Xenopus tropicalis: one gene and its partners. The protein of the gene in region 6 purifies or fractionates together with the protein of the main gene of each other region. This does not show direct contact. Links are inferred from orthologs where the notes say so. Each region holds a gene or a part of one and is shown on either strand. Other genes may lie near its edges.

Region 1 (3,500 bases), on a different chromosome or scaffold from region 6:
TATGCTCTTACATATATTTAGTGATGTCTCTTGACTCACTACTCACCGAAACACATGTATTGTTAAAAATACCCGAAATATAACTATAAGAAAAGTCTTGCTTTAAGTCTGCAGTGCCCATACACCTTCTGTTATCTTGATATCTAAAAGCAGTAGTTCAAATAGTACCCTTGCGATTAAATATCTGACCAAAGCTGGAGATAAATAAATCCAAAAAGATTTTATTTCTGAATTATAGAATGTTAACAGGCTTTATCAAATCAGATGCATGTGTGGTGGGCAGGGATGTAAAATCAGCAGTAGCATTTTCCTAGAGCTCGGATCCCCTTGATAAGAACATTACACCTATCATCTATCATACCTGTGATTGCATCTTGCCTGCCCTGTGCTTGGCTATGCTATAATGTCATAGAAAAATGCAGGAACACAGAAATTCTCACAGAGATACTGTATCACTGTCAAACCAGAGGCTCGCTGGCGTGTACTGCACAGCTCAGTTTGCTACTGCAATTCTACTTGCTATGCTCATGCCAAAGCTGCAGTGACACTCAAGGTTCTAATGATCTGACTCACAGCACTGCCTGGGATTAGGTGATGTGACTTATACTTACCAAAAGCAACTTGTCTATACTAAGTTACATCCTTTACATGTCCTTTAATGCTTTTATACATCAGCTGATGTCCCTGGCCATTAATAATTTCAAAAATACAGGTTTCCACTACAATACCCACCCATAACACATGTACTTAATCCATGCATCATTTCTGTCCATTTCATCTCTGAAATCAAACCCAGGCTGCCCTAAAGCACTGCTACTTTATACGGTGACATGCTGGTAAAGACAATTTGATGTCAATTTGTTTACTTTTTTTTTTTTTAATTGAATTATGTTTTAATTATTATAATTAATACTGTGCCGTGTACAACTACTGCTATTTAGCAACGTTAAACTTCTTTAGACAGGCTGTCTATACACTATCTGGTTCAGAACGCTGATAACCCACATTCCATTCAGGGACCTACAGTTCCACACATTCTCTGGGTAGTAATCTGTACTATTTCACTTCACTAAAAAATTTGCAAAATGGTAAAAATTTGTGATCAGTGGGCATTTTATCTCAGCTAACATGCACCTTTTTTTTTTACCGTGTATCTTTTTTCACGCCCAATGGCACTCGTCAATAGCCCTGGTTCACATCTACCCAGTGTCAAGAATTTAGTAAGCCCCATAATCTCTTAATAAATATGACTTAAGATGGTACATCGACAAGAAGACATGTTAAAGGGCGGCCAATGACAGCCTCCTTGCAATGCAGCTAAACGAATCGTCACTAGGGAGAGACCATGCATGTTATGAAGTGAATGAATGCCATCAATCGTAGGGACGACATGTTGTATAAGATGTCATCTACATCCACTCTCTCATATGAAAGGCAAGCTGTACTCTGCTTCTAATTAAGTGCTTTGTTCCCTAAGGGCTCTGGCACATGGGGAGATTAGTCGCCCGCGACATATCTCCCCGAAATGCCATCCCACTGGCGAAAATGTAAGTCGCCGGTGGGATGTCATTGCCTTGAGAGGAAACTTTTGCGGCGGCGCGTATGCCATCCCACTGGCGATCAATATTTTCGCCGGTGGGATGGCATTTCGGGGAGATTAGTCGCGGGCGACTAATGTCCCCGTGTGCCAGAGCCCTAAAAGGACAGGAGATAAGAAAGTAAAATCAGTAAAAGAGGACAAACAAAGCCAAAAACCCTCATGTCTGCTACGTCTATAATCTGTAAGTTATTATGAGTGGGAGTTTGTTTTGCACTCAGCATGTGTATTGGTGCAGGGAGGAAAAAAAAAAAGGAGAGATCAGATAGTGAAAGTGGAGTAACTGGGGTAGGCAAGATGGAGAGTGGGAGGACTAAGGATGTTTTTTTCTGCTAGATTTTCTATCCTCCCTTTGCACCAAACGATTAAACAATAATCTTGTATGTTAACACAACAGGCAGAACACACACCCTGGATCTGCAAAGTATAGGGGAAAGTTTTATCTGGATGAGAAGTGGTACTGCAAGCAAAAATACTACACATTCACACAAAACACGACACATTTTCTGCAGAAGGTGTCCTCGCTATATAAAAAATTAATGTGGACCAACATTTACAGAGCGGCCTTCAGGAATTCTACAATCTGTTTACAAATAGGTATAATATATGTACCTAAATATAAAATGCTGCTTCATGCATAACATTTTTTTCTTTTATATAAAACAAAAACAAAAAGGTTTTCCAAGCAATTTATGGAAGATGTTTGTAAGACAAAAGCATGGTAAGAAATGTTAATAATGGAGGGATGGATTTGCTGTTTCCAGCTCAGGCTGAAAGGTGCAAGGGCAGTTATTCTAGGCACAGGTCATTCTGTGAATCTGCGGTTTGTAATTTTCAGTTCTATCATTATACCAAAGACACCAGAAATACCAATTTCCAAACAAAAGCCTCTTATGCAGTAATTCAGTTGATATCCTATAAAAATATACCTTTATCTCGGTCAAATAGCAGATCATCCGCTGAGCATGGACTTCCTTCCTGTGACTCATGAGGGCAAGATGGAGAAGCACAAGGGGAATGATTGCTGCTGCAGCTGCTGCTTCGTTCATGAACTGAGGGAGTCTGTGTGTCAATGCTGCGGGTGCTGCTACTCCGACAGGTGGAAGGTACTGGTGCTCTTCTCCCATCAGGAATTTCTACAGGCTAAGAAAAAATAACAATTTAATTGACTGTGTTTGTATCACCATGATTTGGTTATACATATGTACTCGGGCACAATTATCTGCTTTTATTTAGATTTTTTTGTGTTTCATACTTTTTAGGGCCATAGTGCACTGCTCATTTCCTAAAGTAAATGGGATGCACTGCAGCTTGACTGGGGAGCACCCTAAAATGTTGTGTACCACCTGTGCAGGACAAATGTTGGCATTTGACAGTTATATCAGTGGATAGCAATATATAAATGTAGCAGTGATAGTGAAAACCAGCATATATGCCATTACCCTTAGGCCAATAACAGAGGGGGTACATTAAGGTGTTTTGACAGCTAAGTGATTTCTAGCTCAGCAGAAGCTACACACAATTCCAGGCTATTGTCACTGAAATGGCACTTGAAATCTGGAATGACTGTAAGCATTTTGTTGCCTGCTAATATGGAAAACACCCAGAATATTGCTATTTGGCATTGTGCTTGGAGTGTAAATATCGATTTAATGCATTTACCGTGTAATAAAACTGTGTTGAGGCAAACAAGTCTCAAGTCAGATACAATCAGCACGGTGCAAGCTAACTTGCAGTACTGAGCTTTATATGTTTAAACATAATACAGTAATGTAATCTCACTGTGTATCTGTACCCTGTGAAACCAGTACTCTTCATAAGAGCCAGGGAGTTTAACATTATGTCTGAGATAATTTACTTTCATTTCTAATGTGAGGGTGGGAAAAGTACACATATTTATTAT
Region 2 (3,500 bases), on a different chromosome or scaffold from region 6:
CAGATCACATGTCTGCATGGGCAACTAATACTATTGGGGGTCTGTAACAACTGATCCAAGACCTTTATTAGCAACTAGTCTAATTGCATAAGCCAGCAGCTAGAAGTTGTCTGACCAGGGCAAATTTGAATGCTCTACTGTATGTGTATTAAACCTTCCAGAAGGAACACGAGTTTATCTATATACAATGTTCTGTACTGGTTTAATTCAGGCATCCTACAGCGCCCGTACTAAGACGGGAGATGCTTAGGTAACAGCACCTATCATTACTCAGAGGATGTGGAACAGGAACTAAAAGCTGCCTTTAATTGACGTGCTGGACTTGCCCATTTGAATTGCACATTTCAGGAGGGATTTGTAATTATGAGCTAAAAATAAAGCAGTAAGTGAACAGAAACACTAAGCTCTATGCTTGACTGGGATTTCCGATCCCACCTCCAGCCTTTAAGATTAGATATAAATGCGTCAAAAGAATCCCTAAAACACCTAGAAAAATAACAAGCTGCAAATTGTGTATTTTACGGGATTTACGGGAAGCTGCCGGAATAAAGGAAACGCCAGTATAAAAGCTGATGCATCATCATTAGGTGTTTTGTTTGAAATTTGACAATGTAAATAGCCCACAGCCCAACATTGTGCAAATATGCAAATAGCTGTAATTGTAAGCTTTGTGCTAATTGCAGTCCTACCTACTGACTGCTACTTTCTGTCTGTCCCATAGTGGGGCTTTAGGGGTCACACACAAGGCCTTTCCACTGACCTGCTGTCTTCCACCCTCACTAAAATCACAATGGAATGGATGGCCCCGTCCCCTTCTCAACCTAGAGATTTATTTGGAAATAACCATATTTTTAAAATGCCTTTAGTTGGATCATGGGGGGCACTATTCCATGAAATAAACTGAAGGCCAAATACACAGGCGAGTAGAGCACTAGTTGACTGCTATAAAGGGACTAGTAGATTTAATCAAATAAGTATTTTGGACCATATACTCTCACCAACTTTTAGTATGTTATAATGTACTATTTCTAGCAACTTTGCATTTGGTCTTCATTTATTTTTTTTTATACTTTGAATTATTTGCCTGCTTCACCTACATCTTTCCAGCTTTCACATGGGGGTCACTGACCCCATCAGCCAAAAATAAAAGTTACATTTTATTTCTTATCTATTTAGTTGCTCTTCTATTCATATTCCTGTCTCTCATTCCCACCACTGCCTGGTTGCTAAGGTAAACAAGACCCTAGCAACCAGATAGCTGCTGAAATTCCAAACTAGAGATCTGCTGAACAAAAATCTAAATAACTGAAAAAAAACTACAAAAAATAAAAAAGGAAAACTAACTACAAATTGTCCCAGAATATCAACATCTACATCATGCTAAAAGTTGATATCAGGGAAAACATGCCCTTCAAAAAAAATGAATGAATACATATTTGCACCCAATAACCAATCAACTATTACCTTTTCTAATTTGCCAGAGACTGGGATGAGTTTGGGGGGAGGCCCTCTTATATTCCCATTAAGAGCTCTCTCTTCCCGAATATCTTCAGCATCACTAGAGGGGCTGATTGGTACTCTAGGTTCATGCCATTCCTCTTTAAAGTCCTCGTTGACGTAGACATAATTCCCATTATTTCCAGAGGTAGTAGTAGAGGGTTTCTTTGTAGGAAGCCCATTAAACAGAGGATCCTGTGAGCTGTAATTACTTTTTATAAGCCCCTCTTGCTGCTTAAAACAGTTTGGCATGTTGGTAGGTTTGCGGCACTTGTTGCTCAATTCAGAGGCCTTGCACTGCTTGTCATGGTATGTCCTCCCAGAGATTAAGCTGCTGACGCTTCCCATGGTGTTCTCTGTGACAGGCGACCTGGTGTTTGTATGGCTTTGGCTACCACTGACCTCAGCGTTTTGGTCAATGGATAATGGAAGAGCTTGCAAGGCAGCCATAGTGTAGATAATCTAAATACAGAGGACTGCATAAACCACCTAGAGAAATACACAAGAGAAAGAACACTTAAATATATGGAAGCTTTACAACATTCCCAATGCATTTCTAATCATACTGCTAAATTCATGTTGCATTTCACTTTACTGAAAAAAGACAATAATAAAAGTTATTCCAGTTTAAGTTCCATGACTTCAGTCTACTGCTACATTCCTTCTGTGTATCAGGGGACCCGTGAGTGACCATAAGTGTTTTTATTATTAAGGCAAAAAAGGCTCAGGTACACCTATGCTATTCTATCATGTCCATTTCTAAAAATATAATTTTACATGTATGGAATCACTTTGAAGCCATTGTCTAAAGCAAAGTACAAAGGTTTCGGGCATTCCATCTCACCAACAATACAACCCTGGTACAAATACAGCTGAGCATTTCCTTATCATATTATTTCCTTCCCATACTGCTCAAGCTAAACACTATAGATAAAGCACACAAGGATTCTTTCATGGAAACGTCTGGAGTTCACCCCAAGCAATTAACTGTAGTTATAAACAGAGAATATCGTTCCCAGGGGAAGCAGAGTGTGCGCTTGTTTGTGGAACAGCGGATATTTGCTGATTTAGCAGATTATCAGTGCTTTATTGCTCACAGTTGCAATTAATCAAATTGTTCTGGATTAGTAAATTGTTTTGTGTTAATGAAGAATACTCTATTTGCCAATCTTTGAATAAAGCCAGAGTATATATATTACTCAGGTACTTCAGGTGAATAGCACACAATGGTTTAGGTGGCTAAGCTGTCACGTTACTGCCTGAAACCATTTGTTGGCTGTCGCAGTGACCAATCATGCCGAGTAAAACAACAACTGAGAAGCAGACATGTTATACGACCCAATAAGTAAGAAAATCCATCAGTAAATAACACACAAGCATTTTCTGTGTTACCATTTGTGGTCTTCCTTTAGGGAAGGTCAGTGATGTCCAACTTAAAGGGGGAGTTTACAACTTAAAATTAACATTAATGATGTAGAGAGTGATATTCTCAGAATATTTGCAATTGGTCTTCATTTTTTATTTGTGTTTTTATTATTTAGCTTCTTGTTTAACTCTCCATTTTAGCACATAGATGGGTAACCAGGTGGTGGTTTTAAAACTGGAAAAGCAATAGGAGAGGGGCTGAATAGAAACTTACATAATAAAAAGTAACAAAAAGTATTTTTGCTGCCAGGGAGAGTGACCCCCATTTGAAATCTGGAAAAAGTCAGAAGAAGAAGGCAAATAATTTAAAAACTATATAAAATAAAAGATAAAGACCAATAAAAAAAAGTTGCTAAGAATTGACCATTCTATAACATACTAAAAGTTAACTACCCCTTTAAAAACGATAATCGGTCAAATTCAAGTCACATTTTCAATGGTACAGGCTTATGTAACAGGGCCAACAGGAACATCCAAACACCAAACATGGGGGAGAGTTGGACTCTTCTATTCTTCAGTGGCATAGGGGGGAGCATGTGTGCACCATTCCTGGCTAAGGCACACTGTCATCTAGCAAC
Region 3 (4,216 bases), on a different chromosome or scaffold from region 6:
CTACTTACTAATATTTTCTAAATGTGCTAAATGTATAGGCTCTGAATTCTACTAGTAGCAAAGTTAAAAAAAGAACACAGGATCTTAAGAGGACATAAATCTACCATAGCAATGCTGCTCTAATACAAATTCCAACAACCACCAGTATATTATCAACCACAACAAGAGCTATGGTCCAGCAACCACAAGAGGTTTAATTCTTAAAGCAACACTGCACAGTGCACAAGAAAACTTCCTTAGCACAAGCAGCTCTACTTCTTCAAGATCTTACAATGTGAAATGTGCCTGCTGTGTTTACAACTGACTCTACTTCCTTATGTAGTCCGTGTTACAGTGGCATCTTCTATATTAAGGGACGATTTATAGTCAGCAGTAACCGGACCACCAGAACATTTTAACAAGTTTAAGTTATATTACATCATTCATGGTTGAACTGGTTCTAGGGCAGACCATGTACTGTAAAAAGTAAACTAGATTACGGAGTTTACATTAGTGAATTATGATCACAGAGTTCATATTTTATTACTGCCTTGATGAGTTTTAAATAAATGCACCATAACTAGTATAGTGGCAATAATATTTGTAAACCTACAGTGTAATACTGACAGGCTTGGGGTGCCAGAGAATCAGTTTTAGGGGTAGGTCTATTTCCTTTATGATGGTTTAGATAAGCTGGATAGAACATATAATTTCAGAATCTGGGTTTTTCTTACAAACTCACTGATTTTAAACACTGCATTTAGCACTTTCTACAAGAATAGTTTGCTGATATATATAGAAATTCCTTGACTTCTCAAGTTTAAAAATGCAGTATGGATATGGAATGGAAGCATGGAAGATTGATGGAACACCTTACCAGACTTATACTGAAAGACTTGCATTTTAGATCCTCCAGACTTTGTTTCTGCAATTGTTCCGTAATCATTGAGATCATGATGCCCAGGTCTGGCTGTTCATTTGTGTTTTCAGTAACGGTTATAGCACATGATGGCCCATTAAGTGCCAGGATCTATTGGGCCTGACCCAAGTGGAAGCTCAGATTGACCCCATCACTCCATCCTGCATGAGCCAAATACACAATCAGTCAACAGCTTTATAATTCTACACATTTAAAATCAATCACTAACAATCAGTAGCAACAAGAAATATTCTTGGAAGATGCATGTATTTTGTTGTAGCAATTTAGTCCAGAAACGTAACTGATAGCCAAGATGTCTAATTTACCTAAAAGTAATATCTGGACTGTAAACCAGCAGATCAGCAATGTCCAGCTTGTATCTTTCTTCCCCCTCTGAAGTACAGTTCCTAGCACCACCAGAGATACATCTGGCTGTTAGGAAAGCCACGATTGTAGTTAAACAAGAGTTGGAAGGCTGCAAATTGGACACCCCGTCAATGGATATTTTTGAGGCCCCATAATGTGTCAAATGTGTTCTGAATAAAACTTGGACATCATTTGCTTTTGATTCTTAACAAAATACAAGTTGGTTTATGAATAATTTCATTCATTCATGTACCGTGACCTGCTACTGACAAACTACCCATTCGCAAAATACATATATTGTCTGTGTATGTTATCCATGCCTCCAGATACCTGAACAAATAGAAAAATTGCACTGTTTAAGCCAAATGATTTTAGATTGCAAGCTCTACAGAGATGGGCCTTCTTTGCCTCCTGCATTGATCAGTATTTGTATGGAATCTGCATATTTGATGTATACACCCATCTACTATACAGGGCTACGTAATATGTTGGCAGTTTACACATTTCAATAATTCAATAATCATTTTACATTTTTGATCACAAGGTTTAGATCACCAAGACATAGGCCTTAGAAGCCAGGCAAACACTCAGTGGCAGAGCAGCATTAAAAATGTCTGTTTTCCAATGGGTACATTGCAAATATTAGTAAATGGCACCGGCAGTAGGTTTATTTAAAACAGAATTATCTGAGAACTACGCGAATGCTGTAGAAAGCTGACATGTTGTGTTTGAAGGAGGATGGGGAAATGTATGTAACCCATTTACACCAAGGTAGTTGGTTGCCTGCTCAGTAACATATTATTGGGCAAAACCGAGCAGCTACGCTGAGGGCAGCAGTGGGCCCCCCACCCTGTGACTGCATTTCTAAGTGTGGAAAATGAAGAGTTAACGGCTTGTTTATCTCCCTCCTCAGGAGATGGCCTGACCAGCGCCTACAAAAGGGGCCGCATCCCGTACCGCCCGATTTCCAGAGGCCTCGCTTTTCTAACAACCTCCCCGTCACCTTCCCGCTACCACCCCACCTGTTCTTCTTCAATTACCTGTTTCAGCAACGACCCTCCCAGCGACCCGGAGCAGCTCTGAGCCAGCAGCGGCCCTGCAGCGCCCTTAAATACCACCCAGAATATACCACTCAAATAGGGGAAGCTTGCTGTGTACAGCATTACAATTTGAGATGTGAAATTCACAATACCCGGTTTCTATAAGCCGATTTAATTATAAATGATTCCTACTTCCCTTACATTCAGAGATACAAGCACGGAGATGACGGTCAATGGATTTGCAGCATCCCGGAGTCGGCCCAATATCCCTCTCAGGTGAATGAGCTGTCCCGTCCCCATTGCGGGATAAACCATGAAGCTTTATAGACAGGGCAAATAGCGGTACACCTACCGACTACCGGTGAGGCGGATGACCTGTAAGCATCAGTACCAGTTCTTCCAAAGGTAATACTGTGTGCAAAACGCCTAATCACACCTTGTGGCCAGAGGCGCTCTAAGCGTGGGCGGTTCGCCGTAGCAGAAGCCACTCTTTCGCTCCCCCCACACCGGAGAGCTCATGCGAAAGCAAAGGTTGCTGGAATATGTAGTTTCCAGGCGTTTGAACAGTGCAGAGAGTATGCGGTTTTTACTGCTGTCTAGGAACTTGTAATCTGGGTTGTTAGTGGCCCTATATTTCAGAGGACGGTCACCCCTTAACTACATTCAGAGACAAACCTTGTTTCTGTGGTGTACTGCTTATTATTAGGGCCCCATCGCTCGGTATGGACGATCTGGTAAGTCAGGACCTATGTAAGGGGGAAAAGTTTATAGAATGCTGCGGAAACAACTACAATTTAGAACCAATGTTACGAATGTTAAGCTTTACAAAAGCACCAGATTAAAAAATTACATTAAGTATATTCAAAATAGAAAAAACCTGATATCTTCAGCCAAAGCTTTCTGACAAGAGGGAACATATCCTGGGAGCAGCTGCTAAGGTACCAGCATGCTTTGCATGAGAATTACATCACATTACAATTTTATAAAACTATTGTTTATAATTGTCACTGCTTAAAGCTGGCCACATGTAGTGATTTTCGATCAACAGATGGTCGCATGAAAGATCATTCCAACCCTCCACTGATGAATCGTCAGATATGGAGGTAGAAACAATAGGATTACTACCTCCTTCTGCCGATTCAGCCCTAAACAAATGGTGCCCAATCAAAATCTTTTAACCTGCCCAATCGGCAAGTCGATATCCTCAGCCTTCTGCGATATCGGTCACCTCACCGAGTTGCCATACACGCATCGAATATCGTACGAAACAAGGTTTTGTACAATATTATCGGTGTGTGTATGACCAGATTAACATAAATGGCAAGAAATATTTTATAGCTACGGGAGTAAATTACTCCTTCCTTTCGCTGAAGAATAGTAATAGCACACATATTTTTTGCTGCTCTGGGGTGGGGGAACAAAACTCTAAATCCCCCCGATAAATGGGATCCAACACGGTGCTTAATCTGCTCAAGACACTGCAAACAATAGTCATCTGCCATTAGAAAGGAAGAGGCTCATTTAATGTCCCTTCTTAGCTTTTGTGCTTCCATAAATTGAGGCCCACATGCTTGACATATTGTGGTGCACACAAGTGTAGAAACCAAAAGTTTTCAGTTCTGACACAAGCACGCCGTTTTTAAAAATACACACGCTTTGTTTTACCACACGAAAAGAAAAAGTTGTAAAAGCTAGCATTTTACAGAACTAGTTAAAAATGTACATAGGCAGGGGAAGTGGGGGAAAAAAAATAATTTTAGTAGCAGCCCAATAAACCAGATTTGGGGTGGGGGAGGGAGGGCCATTTGCTTTGGTACTTATTGAAAGACAGCCGAGCTGCAGAAGTTATGCAGCTTTTCATAAATGCTTATGTAAAAAATTGATGAGTACAAAAAAAGTTACAATAAAAATA
Region 4 (4,022 bases), on a different chromosome or scaffold from region 6:
CCATTCAAAGGAGAAAAGGCACAGGTTACTTAGCCGATAACAGACAAACCCCCATTATATGGGGCTTATCTACTAGTTATCTGCTATGTAACCTGTGCCTTTTCTCCTTTTTTCCAGCTTGAATGGCTGCCCCCATAGCTACACAGCAGCTTATTTATATAGTAGCTTTTCTGTAGCAAAAACACCATTTTTTTTTTTTTGCAAAGCAACAGCACATTATATTTTAATTACTTTAAAACAATTTAATTTTTTGATGTTACTGTTCCTTTACATAATCAGTGAGAAGAATGGTACTAGTACTGGTGCTGCAGGTGCACTGCAACCCAAAACATTTGTAACAGTCCACTCAATTCCTAAAGAATTGCAACTTGTGAATTTTCCTGTAATTTTTTATTAAACAAGCAAACAAAAATATTTCCGACATAGGACCCTTCATCAGAATACCCTGCCACTGTACAATAAAACACATAGATAGAATCTTCTGCATAAATCGCTGTGTCTATATATTTATATTTTTCTATCATTGGGAGATGAAAAGGTAAAACTTAAGACTGTTTAGTCCACAGACTTTAGTTCAGTTGCGACATTATTAAAAGGGAAAAATATGTAGATTTACAATGAGTTACATTTTGAACAAATCCGAAAAGAGCCAAAAACATCAAAAGAAATTTATATTTGTATACCAGCCAGAATTAGTCTGGAACGAACGGTCAAATGCAGTATATACTGCAAAAGTTAATGTGTTTTATTTTAACACTAAAACTCTTTTTCAGGTGTGACATTTGTAGTATATAAGGCTTCATTGGATGGAAGCATTGGAGAGGTCCTAAAGCACAGTACTGAATCTACTCACCCTGGTTATTATGATTTATATTAATTACTTCAATATATAATTACTTATTATATATTATTATATTATATTAATTACTTATATATATAAGCTCCTTTGTATATCTGCATGGCTTTCCTCTCATACACCAAAAACATACATACAGGCAGGTTATTGCCTTCTGTCTTAACTGACCACAGTATGTGTAAAGCTGGCCATACACGTGGCGATCTCACGATGTTTCGTACGACCGTCGGTCGCACGAAACATCGTCAGATCCGCCACACACCATTCAGGGCTGAATCGGCAGGTAAGGAGGTAGAAACAATAGGATTTCTACCTCCTTCTGCCGATTCAGCTCTGAAGGGAGAATTTTGGTCAGGCGCCTTCTATGGCGCCCGATCAAAATTTTCTAACTTGGCCGATCGGCGAGCCGACCGATTTCAGCAGCTTCCTGCGATATCGGTCGGCTCGCTGACATGCCATACACGCACCGATTATCGTACGAAACGAGGTTTCGTACGATAATATCGGTGCGTGTATGGCCACCTTTAATGTGACAAGGAACTAAGATTGTAAGGTCCTCTGGGGCAGGGACTGGTGTGAATGAAGTATAATCTCTGTAAAATGCTGTGGAAATGTGTCACAGCTCTATTAATAACATGGGAAAAAACTCTGTGCATTATTTCAGCTATAGGTACTACCAGCCACTTAGGGGACCATAGGGCAGAGGTACACGGGGAGATTAGTCGCCCCACAATGCCATGCCTCCGACTAGAATGTAAATCGCCGGTGGGATGGCATATGCGTCGCTACGACTGTGAGACACTGCAGCGACACCTGCAATTTACTTTCTAGCAGGAGGGATGGCATTGCGGGGAGATTTGTGGCAGGGCGACTAATCTCCTCGTGTACCCCTGCCATTAAGACAGCCAACACTGAGCAGAATAGCACAGTTCAACATTCTTTTTACTAAAACGTTGCGTCTAAACCTTTATGGTTATGTATGGAGTCACATAGACCTGCATTCTCTACTGAAACATGCTTGTTAGAACATGCTCATGAGGTATTTTGCACATCCCACTGGTAACATTACACAGTATATGGCTTTCTATGTACGACATAACTCCTGAGCTATATCATTATAACTGATAAAACCACAAACCTTTATCCGTGGGGTTATGTATTCCCAAGCCAGTCCCCAGAGCCAGACACCTGTCACAGAGACAGACGGGCCCAGGCACTCCCTACCTGCCATATTCCTCTCTGCCAAGTTCACCCCTCTCTCTCTTGTAGCTCCTCTAACCAGGTCCCATTGCCTGTGGCACAAGCAACCCCACCGTCACACACAAATGTAACTCAATGGCTGGAATCGCCTCCCCCCCCCCCAGCCCGCGCTGCCTGTCACACAGTAACACATCCCCTACTCGAGTTTGTTTCTACAGTAAACGTATTGCGTTATTTTATGCAATTCTCCAGGTTACATGATGTAGAGGCTCTCCGGCTGTTTTTGGGCTAGACTTTGGTTGTCAGGGGATTCTGGGAGGTGTAGTCCAACAAAAACTGAAGTGGCAATGGCCGGACATCCAGACTATCAATAAGGCAAAGAAATGTATACTTTATCCCTCACCGGCTTGGGTGGTGTCGCTGAGGTCGTGCTGGACTGCACTCCGCGGAAACTCTCTCAGTTTCCTGCCACTCAGGTTAAGGACCCCGGTCACCGACGCTTCCTCCAATGCCCTCTCCAAAGAACGGTTCCATGCAGCCGGCCCTGCGCCCACTCCGGCCCCCGACGCTGCTCCATGGCTGTTGTGATTAATCCCAGAATAACCAGACACTACCGAGCCCTCGGCCAACACAGCGGCCGCCATAACACCGACTCCAATTTGCGCTTGCGCTGCCAGACTGACAGGAAGCGGGACACATGGGCGGGACTGGTGCTTAAGGCGCATGCGCTCCCGTAGAGGGGGAGGGAGAGATGGGGAGACCGCTCCTCAGAGCTGCGTATGCGCGTTGAGGGGACCAAAAAAGGAATTTCCGTAGAACAGCCAGAAGACAATTAGAATTCGTTTAATAGTATCTTTCCTATTTGCCACTACTTTATTAGTGTAACTGAATTCCTCTTTTTGCGACTGATAATGAAAGTACATTTTCTGTTCACGTTCGTAGGGTAAGCACACGCTTAATAGACCTTGAGGGGTATCACGTAATATCCTCCTAGATATATAAACAATTATTTTTGAAGAAAATATTAGTTCTATGCCAGTTTACCAAAATGTAACAGTTTGGATAACATTTTGAATATGGACGCAAATGTCAATTTTATCTCCCACGTTATCTCCCCAGGAGAAATCATTTTTAAGTATAAATGGCTGGGGTCTTCTAAATAGTTCAACCCGAAGTATGTGTACAGTGCCAGACTGGGGCACCCAGGGCCCATCTCCGCACTACCACATATACTGGCCAATGGTAATCTGGCCAACTGCACACTGGGGTGGTGGGGCCCACTGGGATTTTTCCTGGTGTCCCATAGGTCATTCTGACCCTGTATGTGGCATATAGAGACCAAATGAAAAAGTGCTAATATGCATATGAATTTTAATTGCTGCCAGTTGGGATGTGGCAAATACTGGAACTTTTTTCAAAGGTGTTTATTTATGCATTTGTAACATAAAACATTTGACATTGGTTCTACAAGCTTGTTCTTTTCATGTCAGGATATACAGCCATGGCCCAAATTGTTGGCACCCCAGAAATTTTTCCAGAAAATCAAGTATTTCTCACAGAAAAGTATTGCAGTAACATGTGTTTTGCTATACACATGTTTATTCCCTTTGTGTGTATTGGAACAGAACAAAAAAAAGAGAGGAAAAAAAGCAAATTGGACATAATGTCACACAAAACTGCAAAAATGGGCTGGACTAAATTATTGGCACCCTTAACTTAATATTTGGTTGCACACCCTTTGGAAAAAATAACTGAAATCAGTTGCTTCCCATAACCATCAATAAGCTTCTTACACCTCTCACCGGGAATTTTGGGCCACTCTTTGCAAACTGCTCCAGGTCTCTCTTATTGGAAGAGCGCCTTTTCCCAACTGCAATTTTAAGATCTCTCCACAAATGTTCAATGGGATTTATATCTGGACTCATTGCTGGCCACTTCAGAACTCTCCAGTGCTTTGTTGCCATCC
Region 5 (3,500 bases), on a different chromosome or scaffold from region 6:
AGTTAGGGGGGGATTTGGGGTGAGTGCTTATTTGTGCCCTGGGTACCCCTGGAACTATAGCAGGGTGACTGTTACCCCAATGTTTCTATATATCTGTAACCTTGTTATGGGCTAAGGGGGCCCAGCCTGAAGGCCAGTTAGGGGGGGATTTGGGGTGAGTGCTTATTTGTGCCCTGGGTACCCCTGGAACTATAGCGGGGTGACTGTTACCCCAATGTTTCTATATATCTGTAACCTTGTTATGGGCTAAGGGGGCCCAGCCTAAAGGCCAGTTGGGGGGGATTTGGGGTGAGTGCTTATTTGTGCCCTGGGTACCCCTGGAACTATAGCAGGGTGACTGTTACCCCAATGTTTCTATATATCTGTAACCTTGTTATGGGCTAAGGGGGTCCAGCCTGAAGGCCAGTTAGGGGGGGATTTGGGGTGAGTGCTTATTTGTGCCCTGGGTACCCCTGGAACTATAGCGGGGTGACTGTTACCCCAATGTTTCTATATATCTGTAACCTTGTTATGGGCTAAGGGGGTCCAGCCTGAAGGCCAGTTAGGGGGGGATTTGGGGTGAGTGCTTATTTGTGCCCTGGGTACCCCTGGAACTATAGCGGGGTGACTGTTACCCCAATGTTTCTATATATCTGTAACCTTGTTATGGGCTAAGGGGGCCCAGCCTGAAGGCCAGTTAGGGGGGGATTTGGGGTGAGTGCTTATTTGTGCCCTGGGTACCCCTGGAACTATAGCGGGGTGACTGTTACCCCAATGTTTCTATATATCTGTAACCTTGTTATGGGCTAAGGGGGTCCAGCCTGAAGGCCAGTTAGGGGGGGATTTGGGGTGAGTGCTTATTTGTGCCCTGGGTACCCCTGGAACTATAGCAGGGTGACTGTTACCCCAATGTTTCTATATATCTGTAACCTTGTTATGGGCTAAGGGGGCCCAGCCTGAAGGCCAGTTAGGGGGGGATTTGGGGTGAGTGCTTATTTGTGCCCTGGGTACCCCTGGAACTATAGCGGGGTGACTGTTACCCCAATGTTTCTATATATCTGTAACCTTGTTATGGGCTAAGGGGGCCCAGCCTAAAGGCCAGTTGGGGGGGATTTGGGGTGAGTGCTTATTTGTGCCCTGGGTACCCCTGGAACTATAGCAGGGTGACTGTTACCCCAATGTTTCTATATATCTGTAACCTTGTTATGGGCTAAGGGGGTCCAGCCTGAAGGCCAGTTAGGGGGGGATTTGGGGTGAGTGCTTATTTGTGCCCTGGGTACCCCTGGAACTATAGCGGGGTGACTGTTACCCCAATGTTTCTATATATCTGTAACCTTGTTATGGGCTAAGGGGTTCCAGCCTGAAGGCCAGTTAGGGGGGGATTTGGGGTGAGTGCTTATTTGTGCCCTGGGTACCCCTGGAACTATAGCGGGGTGACTGTTACCCCAATGTTTCTATATATCTGTAACCTTGTTATGGGCTAAGGGGGTCCAGCCTGAAGGCCAATTAGGGGGGGATTTGGGGTGAGTGCTTATTTGTGCCCTGGGTACCCCTGGAACTATAGCGGGGTGACTGTTACCCCAATGTTTCTATATATCTGTAACCTTGTTATGGGCTAAGGGGGCCCAGCCTGAAGGCCATTTAGGGGGGGATTTTGTACCCCTATATATCTGTAACCTTTCCCGAGCCTAGTTGCAGTTACCTGTGTGGCTGGGCAGATTGCTTTGCTAAGTACCAATTCCTGGTCACATCCTGGTTGCACTATGGGAAATACCCACTCCTGTAGCTCATATTGTTCCTTTTATCATGTTTCCAGCCGCTCATTCATTCACCTGAAATCCATTTGGCAGGGGGAAACCATATTATTTGCCCGTCTTTCAGATCCGAGGTGACACCCGGGGGTTATAGTGTAGGCACTAGTACTACCATGTCTTTACCGTGGGAGCCAGATGAAGCCGGGGAGACGTCTCTGGGACCCCAGCCACTAGATGCCTTTATATATTTATCCTTTATGTACAACGTGGGGGTTGTTATTACCTGCTCTGTAGATCACAATGGATTCTGACAGAGTCTCTTTCTCTCTCTCTCTCTGCAGTTTCATTGATCCTGGAGTTTTGTTTCCGGAGACAGAGAGTCGCCAGTTAAGGACGGAGATGCAGCCCCCTCCCCAAGCTGGGCCTCCAGGCATGGGCGGGCCCCCTCGCATGGGAATGGGCAATAATGCCTACTGGCGCAAAAGGGGACCCAATCCTGTATCATCCGCTTCTACATCGGTGCAGCCAGTGACCGACCCTTTTGCCTTTGGCCGGATGACCCCACAAAGTATGGCGCAGGGCAGTGCCCCGACAGGAAACCCACTGATGGCACCGAGTCCGTCCCCGTCGATGTACCCTCAGCCCGTTCCTGTACACGGATCAGGGGCCGGAGACCAAGGGCATGTGTCTCCCCCATCACTAGTAGGAGCCGTACCACAGCCCGTTGCTAGGGGTGAGATGTATACCAGTGTATCTGCCCCGTCGGCAGCAAGCGCCCCTTTTACCAACTACCCAGCAGCCGCGCCTATTGCCCAGCCCGGACTTGGTAACATGCAGACTTATCAGAATACGGCGAGTGGACTTGAAAACGCCTTTGTGCCGGTGCAAAGCAGGGCCCAGTCAGCCCAAGGCTTATCTACTGCCCCCTACTTTGCCCCTGCACCGTCTCAGCCAACTAGCGCTCCCTGGGGGTCCTTACCAAATGCACCTCCTGTCTCCAATCAGAACTTCCCCCTTCCAGTTCAGCAACAATCCCATAATTCTCCTTATTACTCCCCCCCTTATTTAGAAGTCTCTAATCTGGCACCTCAGGCAAGCGAAACTGGGGCACAGCCAGCACAACAGAGGGCAGCGCCAGGGTACTACCCACCTACCAGCGTCTCCAATCCTACCTTTCAGCACAGCAGTTCACAACCCCCCAGTTTAAACCCGACAGACTATATGCATGGGCAGAATCCTGAGCAGAACTGGTTCAACCAACCATACAAGGATCAGCGGCACCCACCTCTGCCAAGTTCTAACCCGGTACAATACCCGCCTCCGCAGCAGCCCGAGCCCCACCAGGAGGTGCCTAGTGCGTCTGGTCGAGTCTCAACCAATGCAGACTCTGGTACTATATCAATGTTTTTTAAAGGGGAAGAAGAAGAAAATGTGGAAATCGTTTCTTCCGACCAGCAGAACGCATCTATTAAAGCGGACCTTGGTTCTTCTCATTACCAGAACGCCGGATATCAAGGTGTGTCTTCTCTACTGCCGCAGCCGACAGTCAGCAGTGGCATTCCGGCAATGACACCGATCACTTTAGCGTCTGGCGTTCCCCACGTCCCCTCATCTGCCGGCAATGCCACCCATCCGCATTCAGCTTGGAGGCAGGACACCCTTCCTCTTCGCGATAATACGGCTAAACCCAGGGAGATGCCCTACGACAACGTTGAAAACATCGAGTGTGTTCAGAACCAGGAAGTTCTCCCCAACGAGCCCAATCAT
Region 6 (3,500 bases):
CTTTAGATTTATAGAGACTTTGTGGAAGGAAATAACAGCATTTAGCAACACAAATTAAACCATACTAAATGAGCGTTAGTAACCTTAAGAATGCACAGTAAGGAGTTTCCTGAGGTGTGGGTGCTACATTTGGGTGCTAGAGAACAAATCCTCATACCCGAGCTAGAAGATGTGCTAGAGGTGGTTCCTGATGACTGGGACTGCTCCATTGCTGGACTCGTTGATACACTGTTACTCGTGTTTGTACCTTCGTCAGCAGTTTTCTTAAAGAAACTATGTTGCAGAGCATAATAGGGTTGGATACGGGTCTTGGCATCATAATCCAACATCCTTAAAATGAGGTCTTTAAACTTCAAGTAGTCCGCTACAGTATGACCTGATTCCCCGCCTCGGCGGCCACCTGGTCCTCCAGTTTCTACTCCAAGTAGGTTGTGAAGTTTTCGGGTTCCCGGTGGTTTGTACTCCTAGAGTAATAACACAGACTCCCGTTAACAACTTGCTGGCACTGGATATACAGGCACAACAGTATTTGTCTATAAACAAAATAAACAAGCAAATAACTATGGGTTGGTTTAAAAATGGTGGTGCAATGTGATAGGGACCTTAGACTGTAAGCTCCTCTGGGGCAGGGACAGATGGGAATGTGATAGGGACCTTAGATTGTAAGCTCCACTGGGGCAGGGACTGATGGGAATGTGATAGGGACCTTAGATTGTAAGCTCCACTGGGGCAGGGACTGATGGGAATGTGATAGGGACCTTAGATTGTAAGCTCCACTGGGGCAGGGACTGATAGGAATGTGATAGGGACCTTAGATTGTAAGCTCCACTGGGGCAGGGACTGATGGGAATGTGATAGGGACCTTAGATTGTAAGCTCCACTGGGGCAGGGACTGATAGGAATGTGATAGGGACCTTAGATTGTAAGCTCACTGGGGCAGGGACTGATGGGAATGTGATAGGGGCCTTAGATTGTAAGCTCACTGGGGCAGGGACTGATGGGAATGTGATAGGGGCCTTAGATTGTAAGCTCACTGGGGCAGGGACTGATGGGAATGTGATAGGGGCCTTAGATTGTAAGCTCACTGGGGCAGGGACTGATGGGAATGTGATAGGAACCTTAGATTGTAAGCTCACTGGGGCAGGGACTGATGGGAATGTGATAGGGACCTTAGCTTGTAAGTTCCACTGGGGCAGGGACTGATGGGAACTGAGTGCTAAGCTGTATACATATAATACAACCCAGTGTATCTAGTGACAGTTTTATACATGTATATTGACTATACAGAAAGAGCAGGGACTGCACTGTATAACCAAATGTGCCTTTTGGGCTTAAACCTCATTAGAAACATGCAAAGCCGTTGATTCCTTTTCCATTCCATAGAATTTAGCAAATTACCTTTTTTCCATCTTTGGTCTTCTTTAAGTTCCAAGTGCCTTCTGGCATCTTCTCAAAGAACTTTCTAGCTTTTGGTGCTTGGTCAAGGATGTGAGCAGGTGGTATTCCTAAAACTTCCACAATTTTACTCATTTGATCAACCTACCAAGCGACAAAAGCAAAGTCAGTCGAGGCAGAACCCACACATGATGAAGTGACCCATTACAATTATGGGGCACCATAAAACAAATATGCCATCATCAAGTTATTTATATTGGGTATCCCATATATGTGACTGTCTGTGGGAAGACCCGAATAGGGCACAGAATTGCAAACTGTGGGGAGGACTAAACTTGGGAGGCAGTAGCCTTATAGGTGGCCATAAAGGCCCAGATTTAGTGGGGACTATTCTAAGCATACTGTAAGCATCTAAACTCATTTGGCTTTTAAAGGAAAACTAAAGCTTAAATAAAGAAGGAAATATTGTACATTATGTTTGGGGGGTTGTGTACCAGCCCCAGGCCCCCACAGCCCTTTAGCAGGGAAGATCTTTGCTCCTTAAGATTGCCCCAGTAGCCCCCCATCTCCTTTTCTGCCGATTCCCTGCCCATACTCTGTGCTGCTGGCACTTACCTGAGCTTAGGGGCCCACTCACTATATACTGTATATATAGAATATAAATGTCACAGTATAACCTGAGCTTAGGGGCCCACTCACTATATACTGTATATATACACTATAAATGTCACAGTATAACCTGAGCTTAGGGGCCCACTCACTATATACTGTATATATAGAATATAAATGTCACAGTATAACCTGAGCTTAGGGGCCCACTCACTATATACTGTATATATACACTATAAATGTCACAGTATAACCTGAGCTTAGGGGCCCACTCACTATATACTGTATATATACAATATAAATGTCACAGTATAACCTGAGCTTAGGGGCCCACTCACTATATACTGTATATATACAATATAAATGTCACAGTATAACCTGAGCTTAGGGACCCACTCACTATATACTGTATATATAGAATATAAATGTCACAGTATAACCTGAGCTTAGGGGCCCACTCACTATATACTGTATATATAGAATATAAATATCACAGTATAACCTGAGCTTAGGGGCCCACTCACTATATACTGTATATACCAAGTATAAATGTCACAATATAAGGCTGATTAGTAATTAATACAGATAATTACTACATGGCAGCTCAGAAACCAGTGCAGCTAGCGTGAGAATGTAATAATCACTGCTGAGCCACTGAGTTTTTCCCCTGCTGGTTGGTACTAAATCAGCCGCTCTAGAGCCAAAATTCGGATTTCCTGAATTGAAATTTCAGCTCTTCTGGTGCAGAGAGTGCTATTGTGCTGTCTGCACTAGCAACGCGGCCCCCTCCAGCGCAAAAAAACTAAATTCAGAGTGGCAAGGTGGGGGGCATTCCCTAGGCCACCTCAGGGAAGTAAGTAATATGTAGCACACCACCTATGGGTGGGCGATATCGGGGGAATTTAGGCTAATTCAATCGTTTGGCCCTGGGGCCAGCTCAATGCCGGACTCTGGGCGCTCCACCCCAACCCTGGATCGTGGGCAAAAGTAAATGGAACGTGACACAGCACACAGGGGTGGGGGGTGCACGCAGTGGGTGGGTATAGGCATGCAGACTTTGCAACTGGGTGAGGGGCCAGTGAGGTGGCAGCCCTTGTCTCAGACACCCCATTCCATAAGTGAGCATGACAGCATAAAAGTGATCTACCAATTTAAATCCATGGCGCATTACAAAAGGAAAATAAAAGTGTTGCTACTGCCTTACCTCATTGGCTCCACTGAAGAGGGGCTCCCCAGTGTGCATTTCTACCAAAATGCAGCCAAGGGACCACATGTCAATTGCAAGGTCATAAGGCATTCCTAGTAAAACCTCAGGAGACCGGTAGAAGCGACTCTGAATATACTGGTATATCTAGGGACAAGAAACAAGGTATAAGCCGATTGGCTTCCGTGGCCTCGGTTTCGTGGGAACAAGAGCCAATCCTTACCCTCTGCCCTAGCTGGCACGAGCTTCCAAAGTCCACAATCTTAATGGCGCTTCGTTTTGGGTTACAAAG
Region 7 (3,500 bases), on a different chromosome or scaffold from region 6:
AAAGGCCAAGTTAACCCACCATAAGGATTCTCCTGTAACTGTCGCGGTCTATGCCCCACAGCTTCACATTCGTTTTGGCTTTCACAGTTGCAGCTCGGGGAGTCCCGTAAATCAGAGCCAGCTCCCCAAAGCTTCCTCCCTCTCCGATGCTGGTCATCCAATCGTTGTTCACGTACACCTAAAACATGGAAATTAAGGCACATTTTTTTTATCACGCCTTTGATTTGTTTTTTATAGCTGCCCATACACTGGTGTGGGGGGGTCGCTCAGTGACAGGAACTCTGCTTAATTTGGCTCAGATCCAATCCTTTGGCCGCACAATCATAACCCTCCTATTGTGTTACCATCTCTGTGTAAGGCTGTATATGGGCACAACTTACATCCATTTCACCCTGGTCAACCACATAGAAGTTATCGCCTTCGTCACCTACAAGAAAGGACACGGGTGTCAGACAAGGTTACGCCGTACATGGATCCCCGCCCCCCGGCGACACGGGTGTCAGACAAGGTTACGCCGTACATGGATCCCCGCCCCCCGGCGACACGGGTGTCAGACAAGGTTACGCCGTACATGGATCCCCGCCCCCCGGCGACACGGGTGTCAGACAAGGTTACGCCGTACATGGATCCCCGCCCCCCGGGGACACGGGTGTCAGACAAGGTTATGCCGTACATGGATCCCCGCCCCCCGGGGACACGGCTAAGCTGTAACACAAAGCTGATAATCCGCTCTTTCTCCTGTAAGGCAATGGGGATTGTGTGCAGTGAAAGGCACGGACTCCTGGTACCGGAGGCAATGGGCCAGCACCCTGGCACTGGGGCGGTTCCCTCACCTTGTTGTATGACGGTCTCTCCGGCGATGTATGTAACCGAGAACATTGCGTCAAAGATATCACTGCAAGATGGGAAAAGGGGAGAGTTACACACTGGGACTTATTATATTATAGCCCATACAGAGTCCCGGCCAATGATACGGCACCTATATAGCGCTGGGTTCCAGTATAGGGAAATGATATTATAGCCCATACAGAGTCCCGGCCAATGATACGGCACCTATATAGCGCTGGGTTCCAGTATAGAGAAATGATATTATAGCCCATACAGAGTCCCGGCCAATGATACGGCACCTATATAGCGCTGGGTTCCAGTATAGGGAAATGATATTATAGCCCATACAGAGTCCCGGCCAATGATACGGCACCTACATAGCGCTGGGTTCCAGTATAGGGAAATTATATTATAACCCATACAGAGTCCCGGCAAATGATACGGCACCTATATAGCGCTGGGTTCCAGTATAGGGAAATTACATTATAGCCCATACAGATTCCCGGCCAATGATACGGCACCTATATAGCGCTGGGTTCCAGTATAGGGAAATTACATTATAGCCCATACAGATTCCCGGCCAATGATACGGCACCTATATAGCGCTGGGTTCCAGTATAGGGAAATGATATTATAACCCATACAGAGTCCCGGCCAATGATACGGCACCTATATAGCGCTGGGTTCCAGTATAGGGAAATGATATTATAGCCCATACAGAGTCCCAGAGAGCCGGGGTCAGTAGGAGCCACACACCCTGGGACGGGGCCCCTCATACCTTCTCTCATTATCATCCAGATGGGCAAACAGCACGTTCTTCTCAATGGCTTTGGCCAGAGCCGCCATAGTCTTGTAATCTTTAGGGATAACCTGAAGGGGAAAGAGGCGGCGGTTATATATCAGCAGGCACCACTGGGTAATGCTGGGAATTTAAAGGGCAAGTCACCTTGCAATTAACCTTCAGCATGGGAAATAGTGGAGCCCATTGTTACGGATGGAGAAAGGACAGGAAGGAGATGGAACGCTTTATGCAGGGGTGGGGGGGATACAGGGAATAATACTTCATTTATGTTGTTCCTCCAGCCGTTGGTTGTTCTACAACTCACCAACAGCAGCCAGTGGGTGCTAGAGTACTGTAGCACCCCAAAATATCTGTAGGGGTACAAGTACTCTAGCACAGACCATAGATAAAGGAGTAGAGTACTCTAGCAACCCACCATAGCTGTAGGGGCAGAGTACTGTACCCCTAAAGCTATGAGCTATGGTGGAGTGCTAGAGCACTTGTACCCCTACAGCTAGGGTGAGGTGCTAGAGCACTTGTACCCCTACAGCTAGGGTGAGGTGCTAGAGCACTTGTACCCCTACAGCTAGGGTGAGGTGCTAGAGCACTTGTACCCCTACAGCTAGGGTGAGGTGCTAGAGCACTTGTACCCCTACAGCTAGGGTGAGGTGCTAGAGAACTTGTACCCCTACAGCTAGGGTGAGGTGCTAGAGCACTTGTACCCCTACAGCTAGGCTGGGGTGCCAGACTACAGTACCCCTAGGGTGGGATGCTAGACTACAGTACCCCTAAGGCTGGGGTGCTAGACTACAGTACCCCTAAGGCTGGGGTGCTAGACTACAGTACCCCTAAGGCTGGGGTGCTAGACTACAGTACCCCTAAGGCTGGGGTGCTAGACTACAGTGCCCCTAAGGCTGGGGTGCTAGACTACAGTACCCCTAAGGCTGGGGTGCTAGACTACAGTACCCCCAGGCTGGGATGCTAGACTACAGTACCCCTAAGGCTGGGGTGCTAGACTACAGTACCCCCAGGCTGGGGTGCTAGACTACAGTACCCCCAGGCTGGGATGCTAGACTACAGTACCCCTAAGGCTGGGGTGCTAGACTACAGTACCCCTAAGGCTGGGGTGCTAGACTACAGTACCCCCAGGCTGGGATGCTAGACTACAGTACCCCTAAGGCTGGGGTGCTAGACTACAGTACCCCCAGGCTGGGGTGCTAGACTACAGTACCCCTAGGGTGCAGGAACCTGCGGCCTTTACCTTGCGGACGTACGAGGCGGCATCCTCCTCCGTATACACCTCGGCGCTGATGGCCCCCCGACGTCTCCTGCCTTTAACCACAGAATTCATGTGCGGGGGAGGGGAAATCTCATCCTCGCGGGAATCCGAACGGGAGCCAGATTTCTGCTGGTTTAATGTCTGACGCGCCTCCTCCTGGGGGAGCAAAACAAATTGGAGTTAATCATCATTTAATATCTCCCCCCCCCGGCTAATAACCAATAGGACTCTCCAAAGAGCCTTATCGTACATCCCGGGGGGTCAGATGTAGCTCAGACTGGGCACAGAATCAGACCAATGAGGGCCCCTCATATGAACCAACTGGCTGGCCACACATCTTACCCTTTAGATTGTAAGCTCTTGTGAGCAGGGCCCTCATCTGATGGTGATGATGACGATAGTGGCCTAGCTTGCTAGTGATACCCTCAATACAGAGGCACAACTGGCCTCTAGTACTGGCAGATAATGAAGGAACCACCCCGGGCTGCAGCCAATGAGCAGGCAGCTTACTGTGCGGCATTTGTTGCAGCTATGACATAAGCGGTGATGTCACAGGGCACTCCCCGCCCCTTCCAAGCAGCTAAACATTGCATCCTCTGCTCCCCCAGTAAC

The links.
Region 1: the proteins of dyrk1a (region 6) and glcci1 purify together in Homo sapiens (affinity purification with mass spectrometry; 8 studies listed by BioGRID and IntAct, with this or other methods). This does not show direct contact. The link is inferred for Xenopus tropicalis from reciprocal best matches to the Homo sapiens genes DYRK1A and GLCCI1.
Region 2: the proteins of dyrk1a (region 6) and lzts2 purify together in Homo sapiens (affinity purification with mass spectrometry; 8 studies listed by BioGRID and IntAct, counting the BioPlex papers as one, with this or other methods). This does not show direct contact. The link is inferred for Xenopus tropicalis from reciprocal best matches to the Homo sapiens genes DYRK1A and LZTS2.
Region 3: the proteins of dyrk1a (region 6) and fam53c purify together in Homo sapiens (affinity purification with mass spectrometry; 8 studies listed by BioGRID and IntAct, counting the BioPlex papers as one, with this or other methods). This does not show direct contact. The link is inferred for Xenopus tropicalis from reciprocal best matches to the Homo sapiens genes DYRK1A and FAM53C.
Region 4: the proteins of dyrk1a (region 6) and lrch3 purify together in Homo sapiens (affinity purification with mass spectrometry; 3 studies listed by BioGRID and IntAct, counting the BioPlex papers as one, with this or other methods). This does not show direct contact. The link is inferred for Xenopus tropicalis from reciprocal best matches to the Homo sapiens genes DYRK1A and LRCH3.
Region 5: the proteins of dyrk1a (region 6) and sec16a purify together in Homo sapiens (affinity purification with mass spectrometry, with the first as the bait; 3 studies listed by BioGRID). This does not show direct contact. The link is inferred for Xenopus tropicalis from reciprocal best matches to the Homo sapiens genes DYRK1A and SEC16A.
Region 7: the proteins of dyrk1a (region 6) and prkar1a purify together in Homo sapiens (affinity purification with mass spectrometry; 6 studies listed by BioGRID and IntAct, with this or other methods). This does not show direct contact. The link is inferred for Xenopus tropicalis from reciprocal best matches to the Homo sapiens genes DYRK1A and PRKAR1A.

The regions. Positions count from the first base shown.
Region 1 is NC_030682.2:34,486,547-34,490,046, reverse strand, and holds part of glcci1 (glucocorticoid-induced transcript 1 protein), read right to left. Parts: intron 2,741-3,500; coding exon 2,527-2,740; intron 1-2,526.
Region 2 is NC_030683.2:29,786,038-29,789,537, reverse strand, and holds part of lzts2 (leucine zipper putative tumor suppressor 2 homolog), read right to left. Parts: intron 1,987-3,500; 5' UTR 1,948-1,986; coding exon 1,465-1,947; intron 1-1,464. UniProt on the Homo sapiens protein: Negative regulator of katanin-mediated microtubule severing and release from the centrosome. Required for central spindle formation and the completion of cytokinesis.
Region 3 is NC_030679.2:48,027,591-48,031,806, reverse strand, and holds the start of fam53c (protein FAM53C), read right to left. Parts: upstream 2,801-4,216; 5' UTR 2,657-2,800; intron 2,615-2,656; exon of another isoform or gene 2,506-2,614; intron 2,438-2,505; exon of another isoform or gene 2,305-2,437; intron 1,060-2,304; 5' UTR 935-1,059; coding exon 857-934; intron 1-856.
Region 4 is NC_030681.2:100,436,127-100,440,148, reverse strand, and holds the start of lrch3 (DISP complex protein LRCH3), read right to left. Parts: upstream 2,801-4,022; 5' UTR 2,782-2,800; coding exon 2,460-2,781; intron 1-2,459. UniProt on the Homo sapiens protein: As part of the DISP complex, may regulate the association of septins with actin and thereby regulate the actin cytoskeleton.
Region 5 is NC_030684.2:6,549,404-6,552,903, reverse strand, and holds part of sec16a (protein transport protein Sec16A), read left to right. Parts: intron 1-2,074; 5' UTR 2,075-2,132; coding exon 2,133-3,500. UniProt on the Homo sapiens protein: Acts as a molecular scaffold that plays a key role in the organization of the endoplasmic reticulum exit sites (ERES), also known as transitional endoplasmic reticulum (tER).
Region 6 is NC_030678.2:12,501,150-12,504,649, forward strand, and holds part of dyrk1a (dual specificity tyrosine-phosphorylation-regulated kinase 1A), read right to left. Parts: coding exon 3,432-3,500; intron 3,356-3,431; coding exon 3,209-3,355; intron 1,540-3,208; coding exon 1,399-1,539; intron 465-1,398; coding exon 158-464; intron 1-157. UniProt on the Homo sapiens protein: Dual-specificity kinase which possesses both serine/threonine and tyrosine kinase activities. Exhibits a substrate preference for proline at position P+1 and arginine at position P-3.
Region 7 is NC_030686.2:50,524,461-50,527,960, forward strand, and holds part of prkar1a (cAMP-dependent protein kinase type I-alpha regulatory subunit), read right to left. Parts: intron 3,045-3,500; coding exon 2,871-3,044; intron 1,699-2,870; coding exon 1,607-1,698; intron 896-1,606; coding exon 834-895; intron 428-833; coding exon 381-427; intron 179-380; coding exon 20-178; intron 1-19. UniProt on the Homo sapiens protein: Regulatory subunit of the cAMP-dependent protein kinases involved in cAMP signaling in cells.